Linked DNA regions of Danio rerio. The protein of the gene in region 1 interacts with the protein of each later gene in a biochemical or structural test. Links are inferred from orthologs where the notes say so. Each region holds a gene or a part of one and is shown in the gene's direction. Other genes may lie near its edges. The genes, in order: Na(+)/H(+) exchange regulatory cofactor NHE-RF2, abcc4 and pdgfrb.

Evidence for each region.
Region 2: the proteins of Na(+)/H(+) exchange regulatory cofactor NHE-RF2 (region 1) and abcc4 form a complex in vitro, tested with the Homo sapiens proteins (2 studies listed by BioGRID and IntAct, with this or other methods). The link is inferred for Danio rerio from reciprocal best matches to the Homo sapiens genes NHERF2 and ABCC4.
Region 3: the proteins of Na(+)/H(+) exchange regulatory cofactor NHE-RF2 (region 1) and pdgfrb form a complex in vitro, tested with the Homo sapiens proteins (2 studies listed by BioGRID and IntAct, with this or other methods). The link is inferred for Danio rerio from reciprocal best matches to the Homo sapiens genes NHERF2 and PDGFRB.

What each region holds. Positions count from the first base shown.
Region 1 is NC_133178.1:11,799,055-11,803,215, forward strand, and holds the start of Na(+)/H(+) exchange regulatory cofactor NHE-RF2, read left to right. Parts: upstream 1-1,361; 5' UTR 1,362-1,682; coding exon 1,683-1,889; intron 1,890-4,161.
Region 2 is NC_133181.1:8,255,065-8,259,587, forward strand, and holds the start of abcc4 (ATP-binding cassette sub-family C member 4), read left to right. Parts: upstream 1-1,709; 5' UTR 1,710-1,952; coding exon 1,953-2,038; intron 2,039-4,523. UniProt on the Homo sapiens protein: ATP-dependent transporter of the ATP-binding cassette (ABC) family that actively extrudes physiological compounds and xenobiotics from cells.
Region 3 is NC_133189.1:3,712,400-3,716,135, reverse strand, and holds part of pdgfrb (platelet-derived growth factor receptor beta), read left to right. Parts: intron 1-1,111; coding exon 1,112-1,283; intron 1,284-1,424; coding exon 1,425-1,540; intron 1,541-2,630; coding exon 2,631-2,754; intron 2,755-3,736. UniProt on the Homo sapiens protein: Tyrosine-protein kinase that acts as a cell-surface receptor for homodimeric PDGFB and PDGFD and for heterodimers formed by PDGFA and PDGFB, and plays an essential role in the regulation of embryonic development, cell proliferation, survival, differentiation, chemotaxis and migration.

The sequences.
Region 1 (4,161 bases):
TTCTCCATTAAATTTTGACCTTAAAACTGTTTAAAAAATTCAAATTAAAAACTGCTTTTTTTCTCTAGCTTAAATCAAACAATTAAGACTTTCTCCAGAAGAAAAAATATTAGCAGACATGCTGTGGAAATTTCCTTGCTCTGTTAAACATCATCTGGCAAATATTTAAAAATCAAAGGGGGTTTATAATTCTGACTTCAACTGAATATATACACCCAACTAAATGTTATCTTTTCCATTCTGGTATTACTATTGCTACTATTACTACTACTATACTTTTATAATTATGGCTGTGTAAATAACCTACAGTTTTCAAAAATATTAAAATAGAAAAATACAAAACTATTAAAAGAATACAGCTGTTCTGTGTCAGTTAAATCAGTTGACTGTTGAAATTAAAAATTTTAACCCAACTGGTTGAGTTATTAATGTAGATAACCAAATAAAAATATATATCCAAATAAAATAAATAACCAAATAAAGGTTAAACATGACCAAACAAAGGACCAAATATTTAACACAACTGGTTAAGTTATTATATATATATATATATATATATATATATATATATATATATATATATATATATATATATATATATATATATATATATACGTGTGTGTGTGTGTGTAATATCTACATTTACATAAATATTTACAGTTGAAGTCAGAATTATTAGCCCCCCTTTGAATTTTTCTTTTTTTTTTGTTGTCTTTTTAAAATATTTCCCAAATGATGTTTAAGAGAGCGAGGAAATTTTCACAGTATGTCAGATAATATTTTTTCTTCTGGAGAAAGTCTTGTTTGTTTTATGTCGGCCAGAATAAAAGCAGTTTTTAATTTTTTTAAAACCATTTGAAGGTCAAAATTATTAGCCCCTTTAAGCTATATTTTTTCTCGATAGTCTACAGAACAAACCACTGTTATACAATGACTTGCCTAATTACCCCAACTTAATTAGTTAAGCCTTTAAATGTCACTAAGCTGTATAGAAGTGTCTTGAAAAATATCCAGTCAAATATTTTTTACTGTCATCATGGCAAAGATTGGGGGATAGGGCTAATAATTCTGTTTATATGCATGGGTACTGCATGTATGTGCATATATATTTTTTCCCATTTAGTTTTTACCAGTTGTTCATAAAAATTATGTAAAAAAATAAACATACATGATTCCTTAATCAATAACTGCTATTTGACATTGTTTACATACATTAATGAGGGTCAAATAAGCCTCTTTCTCTGCTCATCTGTATTGTCGCTTATTTATGGGCGGTCTTTTTTCACGCCACGCAGTTTCTCAGTGGACAGCATTTCTCTCTCTCTCTCTCTCTCTCTCTCTCTCTCTCTCTCTCTGTGGGCAGAATGTCTCATGGAGGAGTTTTGGATGCGTCTGTGAACATCCACAGGTAGTTGCACAGTCTGCTTTTAGCGCTATCACTTTTGCATGTAATTCCTCGCGAGCGCTTTTGGACACGAGAGTCTTCTGCCTTCATATCTGTTTTAATTGTTGCATGCGCGTTATTGTAAACACATCGGCATACGGCAGCGATGCGCGTTTATAAACCTTTGCGAATGCATTTTACGTAAGTTTCCGCTTTATTTATTTATTTTTCTTTGCTTGGGAAATCGCGCATGGATTGTGTTGCAAGTTTGTGAATGTGAAGGCAACGGCGGAATACAATGGCAAGCGATTTGAAGCCTCGCTTGTGCGTAATGAAGAAAGGAGAGAACGGCTATGGGTTTCATCTGCACGGAGAGAAAGGAAAAACCGGACAGTACATACGGAAAGTGGAACGCGCGTCCCCGGCGGAGGCGTCGGGACTGCGCGCGGGTGACCGTGTGGTGGAGGTGAACGGCGAGAACGTGGAGAGAGAGACACACCATCAGGTACATCAACACACACACACACACACACACCTGAGCTGCTGGTCTCAAATATTCAGCACACATTATACTGGATCCTAATGCAGGATCGTATTATTATGCATTTTATTGCTTATAACAACAACATGTGTGTTAAAACAAGTGCTTGAAGATAATTAGATTAGGATGTATCTCCATATGGAAGCAGAAAGAGCTTTATTGCCACTGCCAGGTAAGATTTTACATACAAGGAGTTTGCTTTTGTGACAGAAGAGTGTATCAAAATGGCAGTGACAGGACAAAAACACTGATAATAAAGGAATTAAATAAGTAAATAGAGAAAACAAATGCATATTACATTAGGCAATAATGTGTGTAAAGCTATATTATGTGCAAATTGACATGTAAACTGAGTATGTTGTTAAATAAATGTGTACATATGTCGGTAAATAGTTTTGTTCCATTCTACAGGGTGTCCGTGGGGGTCTTAAAATGTCTCAAAATCCAAACTTTTAGGCCCTAAATTCACTGAAACATTGTATTGTAAGTCCTAAATCATGTTAAACAGGTCTTAATTTTCCTGTATTCATGTAAACCTGCCCAATCAGACCAACATCCTTCAATCCTTCCATCTCAATAAAAGTTTTAACAAAAGTTTATTTAAAAGGCACCTATTTTACCCCTTTTTCAAGATTTAAGAGAAGTCTTTTGTGTCTCCAGAGTCTGTCTGTAACGTTTCAGCTCAAAACACTTCTGATTATTTATGAGACCTTTCAGACTATTGGGACTGTCCGCTCTGAACACTATGTAGTAGGGTTGGGCCGATAGATGATGCCGTTGTCCATCGCTGATGGCCAATAGACAACACGATTGCCCTCGTCGCAAATCCGCTCGCGATAAACACACACTTAGGCCCTGTTTACATTAATACGTCTTAGTGTTAAAATGGCATTTTAGAACGAAAATGATCCACATCCACACCGTGTTTTACCCAGCATTTCTGAACAGCCCTCCGTCCGCTGAAAACACACACAGACAGCCACACACACACACACACTATCATGCGCTCGTTTGAGCTTCAGTGAGCAGAGCATGTCAGACAGTTTATGAAGGATGTACCGCTGGATTGCGTCTCACTGTAGTTGTTAAACGTGATATTTAGACATCCCAAGTCTCCCGGAAGTTCCGGGAGTCTCCCACAACTGCTTTGAGACTCTCGGATCCCTCCTCGCTCTTCACACACATCGCGCACACTCTGTCAAACTCCGTCTCTGTCCCCAAACCCCAACCCCCCGCTTTTCACAAACATATATAACCGGACAACCCTACCCCCCCGATGATGCCATTACGATGGCAAATTGTCAGTGTCCTCATCTCTGGCTTTGTCAGATAAACAGCACAGTTACAGATATGAAGGAAGCAGACCTCACGTAAGGTTTGTGAGAAACACTACAGTAAGAACTTTCCCAATGATTATTGGATGTATTTGTTGTGGAGTTAATTCAAGCCTTTCTGCAACAACGAGTCACACACAGTGTCCTTACAAAGTTCACACACAGACACACACACACACAGCTCACGCGTTTAACTTTGCTCTGTTTTTGCACGCAAATGTGACAGGGTACATGCTAATATCCACTGCTGTATAGCTGATATCCGTTATGTTAATGTACAAAATAAAGCTTATTTAACGTCCACAAACCGGGATTGAAGCGCCTTCTTTTACAATTGTACTGATATGCGGCTGCGGTGATGAATTAATGCGATTTTACCATCTTTAACCTACTTTATTACAAACATGCACTGTTTTAAAAACGTTTTAAACTTGTAAAACTTATTCTTTATCATATTTGATGATGACTGATGATCACAGAGAGCTGAACAGATCTTTTAATCCCAGTTGCTTTGCGCACGTCCTGTCTTGTTGATATGATTAAACGCATTACTATGGATGTTAATTCACGGCTGTCAGTCAATTCTGTGGACGGGGAAACCTCACTCCTATGTCACGTTGTGGTCGGCCTCAAAATGGAGGGGATTTGGATCCTATTTTAACGTCAGGAAATTAAAAAAATAGAGGCTTATTGTCTTTATATCACCCCAATATGACTGTGAACACACTATACCTACACACAGTTCTGTCCAAAAGATGATTTTCATCATAGGTGCCCTTTAATAACTCTTGTTTATTAATTATGTTTACTGAATCTATATTTATAAACACATGGTTTAATTATCTTTCTTACAATAACATTTGTTTTTATGTTTTTTTTTTATGTTTTAACTGGGTTATAGA
Region 2 (4,523 bases), on another chromosome or scaffold:
TAAAGGGAATAACAAATTTTGTCCTTAAAATAGCGGTTAAAAGTTTTTAAATCTGCTTTTATTCTAGCTGAAATTAAACAAATTTATTTCAACCAAAACTGTTTGTGTGTTGTGTCTGTGCGTGCGCAAACCTGCCAAAACGACGTTGTCCATAGTCACTACATCGAAAAGTTACGAATTGCTGTGAGATTGCGTTGCACTCTCAGCTCACAACATTCAAAAGAAAAGGTCCACATTGTCCCCCGATAATGTCAACAGACTGGACTGTTTTAGCAACTAGCTGAATGTAAATTGTTTCTACATTATAATTAATGTTCTCAACTCACAGCAATACAACTTTACAGTAAGTGCAACTGTTTGTATTCAATACTTTATTATTATCATTTTCCATATCTGCAATGCCTGTATTTTGGCATTTTTTTTTTTGCAGTCCACTTAGAATCCAACTTGGAAATATTTTTTTTTTTATTGGCAATGATTGTTTTAAAATGTCATTAACATGCCTGTGTTTTAATTTCTGTAATAAATATAGCTGTCAAGCCAGGATCTTGATGGTTTATTGTGGGTATGTTGTTTACATGAAGAAATCTGTGTTAAAAGTCAAACAAAAATTCTAATAAACAATTATATCTTGAATTTAAATAGTTTTTATTTTGCGTTTACAATAATTTTACATTTGAATAGCCAAAATTACAAGTTTCAGTCTTTAAATATATATATAATTAATACTTATATATACTTTTAAATATATATATAATTAATACTTATATATTCATATTTTAATTTTGTGTCTTTCGTAATGCATGTGTGTGAGTGTTGTACATAATAAATACAGCACACACTGTATATTTAAAGCTAACATAATATAAAACTGTTTTTGAATGTGATTAATAATTCACAATTTCATCTAGATGCATGGACAAAAAAAACAAGCAGTCTAACATTAAAAATACATCCACTTGTGTTTCATAGTCATCTGGGTTTTAACGATGGTAAATGGTTTTCATTTTAAAGCATTCCATATATTAAAAAAGAAATATGTGCTTTGTGTTGCTCTTTGCTTTCCTCTGTTTGGACACTTTAATTAAAGATGATTGCTTCCAGCACACTACATGAGTGGTGTGTGTGTGTCTGTGTGTGTGTGTGTGTGTGTGTGTGTGTGTGTGTGTGTGTGTGCGTGCGTGTGTGTGTGTGTGTGTGTGTGTGTGTGTGTGTGTGTGCAGAGCTAATAAAGAACAGATGGTAGACAAAAAGCCTCCTCACCCAGAAGTACAATTACACAATCAAAGCTTCATATGTACGTCTCCCCTGCTCTCTTGTGTCAAAAAACAACAACAATGTGTGTATAAAACAACAATAAACAATCATTTTTACCAGCAACTCCACCTGTTTTCCGTAAATATGCTGTAGTTCCATCCTAATTGCTGCATCCAGTAAGTAAAACCTACTATAGCGAAGCTGCTTCTCATGAATATTAATCAAATGACGTGACGTACACCATACCGATTGGCTGATATCAAGAAGATTATAAATAATCAGGCGGGTGACGTCGAGCTACTCAATATTACTTAAGTCTCTTGACCAGTCATTGCTCTTGACGCCACAGTCAAGGAGGGTTTCTAAGCAACGTAGCTATGCTCTAATTAATATTAATAACATATTCATAATCTTATCACATCTGTTAACATGACCTTAGGTGTATATATAAATGTGTGTACGTCTTGCTTATTAGCGCCCAATCAGGTTTGACAGGAGTGACAATGAGCCAATCGCTGCTCGGATGGGGCGGGGTTTGGTCTCACGCTCACAGTAGGAAATGAACGGTTTTACCTCAGCCTGTAGTTACCGACATGTGCGTGTTAGAAAGTTATACAACAGTTTACAAGGTAAATGTCTTGCGCTGGTTACAGGTTATGCGAGGGGTACCAGAGTCCGGCTGAACCGCGGGGAGGATGACAAGCGATATGGAGCCGATAAAGAAAGATGCCAAAAGCAACCCCTCAGCCTCGGCTAATCTCTTCTCGCAGATATTTTTCTGGTAAGTCAAGTTTTATAATGCCCCTAAGGCAGGGGGGAAGAGTATTTTGTGTTTCCACTGAAGTAAAAACAAAGAAAGAAAGAATGTTTGCTCTTGTTTATAATAATGTACATCTTCTGAAACTAAAGACAACCATAATTAGATGATGTGAAGTGTTTTTTCTGTCAGTCGTGTCTAATCTATGGCTTTGTTAAACTGGGAAAGTTGGTCCTAAACTTTCCCAAGAGCTTCTACAACATTTATATATATATATATATATATATATATATATATATATATATATATATATATATATATATATATATATATATATATAACAGTGAAAATGCTACTTTTTCTTGCTTATGTATGTTCATTTGAAGGCAAAGAACATTTCTTTTGTACTTTTTAAGTTTTTAAACATTTCCTAGTGCTGGGTTGTGACATATGCTGGATAAGTTGGCGGTTCATTCCTCTGTGACCATCCCTGATTAATAAAGGGACTAAGCTGAACAGAAAATGAATGAATGAAAGTTTTGGGTTTTATTATGATTTTTTTCCACATCAAACGTACCGTTTTCTATGTGAACATAATTTAAAATATATCATAATTTAATTATAATCATGTAAATAAAAAGCAGATTGTCACAACATTCTGTAGAAATTGTAATATTAAAATAATATACAACTGCACTAAAAACCTCTTTATTACAAGATATTAGCTTTGAAAATGCAGTGACTGCCTGCAAGTGACAGGACAAAACACGACTCTAAACCAGGGCTCAGCAATCCTGTTCCTGAAGAGCTACCTTTCTGGAGATTTCAGTTGCAACCCTGAACAAACACACCTGTCTGTAATTATTAAGTGCTGCTTCAGGTCCTATTAATTGGTTGAGGTGCTTTTGGCTGAATTTTGCAGGAAGGTAGCTCTCCAGAGTTGGTGACCCCTGCTCTAAACCATAAGTCTCAAACTCAATTCCTGGAGGGCCGCAGCTCTGCACAGCTTTGCTCCAACCACCTCCAACTCACACCTGCGTAATCTCTAGTGCTGCGTCCGAAACCGCATACTTCCATATGTACATGTATAGTACGCTAAAATCAGTATGTGAGCCGAGTAGTATGTCCGAATTCATAGAATTCGAAAATCAGTATGCGAGAAGTACCCGGATGACTTACTACTTCCCGCGAGATTCTGAAGTGCGCATCCCATGCACGCTGCGCTATCCCATGATGCCCCGCGAGCGAATTCATGAATGGGAGTGAAGCGACGCAAATGACGCAGGTAGGTCGCGTGACCATGACAAAATGGCGGATGTAGTATGTCCGAATTCCATTCATACTTTTCACATTCATACTGTATAGAACGTACTTTTCTAACGGCCGAGTAGTACGTTTCCATTCAAATGCAGTACCTACTGAGTAGTAGGCGGTTTCGGACGCAGCCTAGTAGTCTTGAACACCTTGATTAGTTGGATCAGCTGTGTTTGATTACGGTTGGAGCAAAACTATGCAGAGCTGCAGCCCTCGAGGAATTGAGTTTGAGATCTATGCTTAACACTTTGAATTAATGACTGAAAGATGTCCAAATTAGGGGCTGCATGATATTGGTAAAAATCTAACATTGCAATTTTTTTTATTCTGCGATATGAATACAATTTCACTTAGATGAGATAAATTTATCATTTTAGATTGAAAAAAACACTTGCGAAATTATAATCCAGACTCAACGTTGCATATACTAGCGATGTGACTATTGCGAATGATCACATTGATATTGATGCTGAAATGATATATTGTGCAGCCCTAGTTCAAATAATATATTTTTCTGGATTTTAAAATAAAACTATCCACAGCATACCTTAATTATAAAAGCTTTTGCACTTGTGCATTACTTTAAATTCGTAGATATGAAAAAAAAAAGAGTATCTTCATGGACAGTTTGTTCCACATGGACATTGAAATCCATTCATTTGGCTGCAATATCAGTGGTTTTTAGGTTTTGTTTGACTTTTAGGAACACTCAGTTGTTGACTCTTGATTATTATTTATTATTTCGCAAGTGTTCTTTGATGCTTGTGACTGTGAGGCTTTTAAAAGCATTCAGGCCTAAAAAAAGTATCATTTGTAACTTTTAAGAAATTAATAACGATTAATTTGAAATTGTTTATAAAAGAAAGACTATTGTGTTTTCCGCAGGGTCTTAAAATGACCTCCATTTCAGAACCTAAAATTAAGGCCTTAAAAAGTCCTAAATTTACTGACATATTGTGTTGTAAGTCTTAAACTGTTTTTAACAGGTCTTATTTTTTCCCTAAGTAAAGCTACGCAATTTGGGCCAATATCCATCTAATAACCAACAACACATCTCAAAACCTTTATTTATTTTTAAGTTTTTAATTGCAAAGTGAGTTCATAACAGCTGTTAGACATGTTTACAGCAAATTCCCCAAATTAAATTCTCTAATCAGAGGAAAAAACTAAAAACAATTACAGGAATCCTCATGAT
Region 3 (3,736 bases), on another chromosome or scaffold:
AAATAGTATTCAAACTCGTACTGGTTACATTTATACTGAATAAAGCCCATAATCAGTACCTGAGGTGATCATTGTCATAGTATTTTATGCTCTTGTTTTGCTGCGGAAATCGAAACTGTACTGATAGTCACAGTTCTAACATTCATGTTCAAACTGTACGTGTATTTCATTTTCTGAGGTAAATTATCTGCTGTTAATTTCAGTATGGTTATAAATGTCAGAAAAAATATAGTAATTAAACTCATACTGGTTACATTTATACTGAATAATGCCCATAATCGGTACCTGAGGCGATCATTGTCATATTAATTTATGCTGTTGTTTTGCTGTGGTCATAAAAACTGTTCTGAGAGTCACAGGTCTAGCGTTCATGTTCAAACTGTACGTGTATTTCATTTTCTGAGGTAAATTATCTGCTGTTAATTTCAGTATGGTTATAAATGTCAGGAAAAATAGTATTCAAACTCATACTGGTGACATTTATACTGAATAATGCCCATAATCAGTACCTGAGGCGATCATTGTCATAGTATTTTATGCTCTTGTTTTGCTGCGGAAATGGAAACTGTAGTGATATTCACAGCTCTAACGTTCATGTTCAAACTGTACTTGTATTTCATTTTCTGAGGTAAATTATCTGCTGCTGCTTTCAGTATGGTTATAAATGTCAGGCCAAAAATGTATTAAAACTCGGTTACTGGTTACATTTATACTGAATAAAGCTCATAATAAGTACCTGAGGCGATCATTGTCATAGTACAGGGTGGGCCATTTATATGGATGCACCTTAATAAAATGGGAATGGTTGATGGTATTAATGCCCTATAAATAAATAAAAGCGCTACGCTATACAAATAATCTTGAATTATGGAGTTGGGAAATGTCCACAAGCCAGTATTCGAAATCAAGATGCGCAAAACACAATGACAATACATGTCGACACACTTACCACTAGGCAATTGGCAGTAATCAGAAAATGTAGTTTAATTTACTTTTGTCGTGTCTTGCTGTTTTGTTTGTTATTAATCTATACATTTCATATAGATTTTGTTAATGAAGCAAATACTGATTATTCCACACGTGATCTTTTTTTTTTTTTGTCTGTCTGCAGAGAAGGGTTTTGTGTCTCTGACTCCTCCTCTGGACAGAAACATCTCTGCGCAGCTCGGAGAAAACGTGGAGCTGAAGGTGGAGATCGAGGCGTATCCCAAACCTACAGTCCAGTGGAGGAAAGACGGTGCTGTTATCAGAGGACACAGCATGAGGGAGGAGCACGAAACGAGGTATTCATGACCCTCAAATACTCACACTCTTCTTCAGAGGCTGAAAGCAAATGCAGATTTACTCTCTGCTTGAAGATCAGCAGAGATTTAACAGAGATATATATATAAACAGACACTGATGCAGCACTGGATGCGTTGCAGGTTTGTCAGCACATTGACCCTGGTCAGAACTCGACTGCAGCAGATGGGTCTCTACAAAGTCACCGTCCAAAATGAAGACGCCCTCAAAGAGATGATCTTTGACCTAGAGGTGAAAGGTGAGACGGTTCAACATCCATTTACACACCACCCCATTTCCTGAAAATAGACACCCATGTTGGTTTAAGATGGGAAGCAGCAAGAATAATACCAGCTGCCAGGAATACTGCGGAACCAGTTAACTTTTATTATTAGCCACTGAAACTACTGTGAAAGTTATTTTATTTAATTTTTTGTCAAATAAGTTAAATAAAAATTATAGAAATAAATAATAAATTAATATAATAATAACAATAATAATATTAATAATAAAAATAAGTATAAATAAACCGCCTACATCACAAGCCACCCTTTAAAAGACTTTAATTTAATTTAATTCAATTTATTTATTTTATTTTTTTTTGGCAAATAAGTAAAAAAATGATATGAATAAATAATAAAATAATAATATAATAAAAATAATAATAATAAATAATAATAAAAATAAAAATAAAATATGGATAAACCTATCTACATCACAAGCCATCACTCAAAAGACTTTAATTTAATTTTATTATATTTTATATTTTTTATTATTATATTTTTTATCTTTTCGTCAAATAAGTTAAATAAAAATTATATGAATAAATAATAAAAATAATAATATAAAAATAAAAAATAAAATAAAAATAAATATGAATAAATATGAATAAATCTCCCTACATCACAAGCCACCCCTCAAAAGAAAGCTTTTAATTTAATTTTATTTTATTTTATTTTATTGTTTTATTTTATTATAAAAAATATATATTTTTTATTTTTATTTACTGAACAAAAAAGAAAACTAAGTTGGATTTTTATTTAATTAATTTCTGCAATAATATGACATTTTTTAAATTACCTTATTATTTAACATTTAATTTGGTTATAATAAATTATGCATGTTATAAATATGTATATATTTAAAAACATTTTAGAATAAATTGATCAACATATATTTGTTTGGTATCAATAGTATTTTTAATTAACTATTAAATTATGACTGTGATATTTCTTATTTGTATTTAAAAATGACATATTTATTTATATTTTTAAAGAATTAATTGTTGTTCACCCGTCTGGTTTATTGAGTGAGGTTTTCATGTGAAGATCTTTTGTCTGCTTCTGCAGTTCCTCCTCAGATAACGGAGCTGTCAGATCATCACCTGCCGGAGAAGAAGCACGCAGTGACCTGTGTGGCAGAAGGAGTGCCCAAACCCAGCATTCAGTGGTTCAGCTGCGACAGCATGACCAGGTGATGACACTTCATCATCATCATCATCATCTTCATAAACATCATCATCATTATCATCAAATTAGTATCAGTGAATTTTTTAGGGTTTAAATTGGTTTCTTTGCTGATGGATGGATGGAAGGATGAATGAATAGATGGAGGGCTGAATAAATTGATGATATATAGACTGATGTATTAATGAATGATATATAGATGGATGGATGTATTAATTATGATATATAGATGGATGGATAAATGGATTGATGGAGAAATAGATGAATGAATGAATAGATACATAGATGAATGGATCAATTTATTAATAGATCATTTGTAGATGGATGGTTGGATTGATGGGTGTATGGATATATGGATGAATGGATTTATTAATGGATAATATTGTATATAGATGGATAATATTTAGTCAAATGGACAAGTTAGTATAGTGATGGATGGATGGATGGATGGATGGGTCGATGGATGGATGGATGAATAGATTAATGAATGATATGTAGATGGATTGATGGATGGATGTATACATGGATAGATGGATGGATGGATGGATTGTTACATGCATGGATGGATGTATTAATGGATGATATATAGATGGGTGGATTGATGAATGGATGAATGGATGGATATAGTATTGAATGGATGGATGGATGGATGGATGGATGGATGGATGGATGGATGGATAGATGCATGGATGGATGGATTAATAAATTATGTGTAGATGGATTCATGGATGGATGTATAAATGAATGATATATAGATTGATGGATGGATGGATTGATGGATGTATTAAAGAATGATATATGAATGGATGGATGGATGGATGGATGGATGATGGATGGATGGATGGAGGATAGACAGACAGACAGACAGACAGGTAGATAGATGGATGGATGGATGGATGGATGGATGGATGGATTGTTACATGCATGGATGGATGTATTAATGGATGATATATAGATGGGTGGATTGATGAATGGATGGATGGATGGAT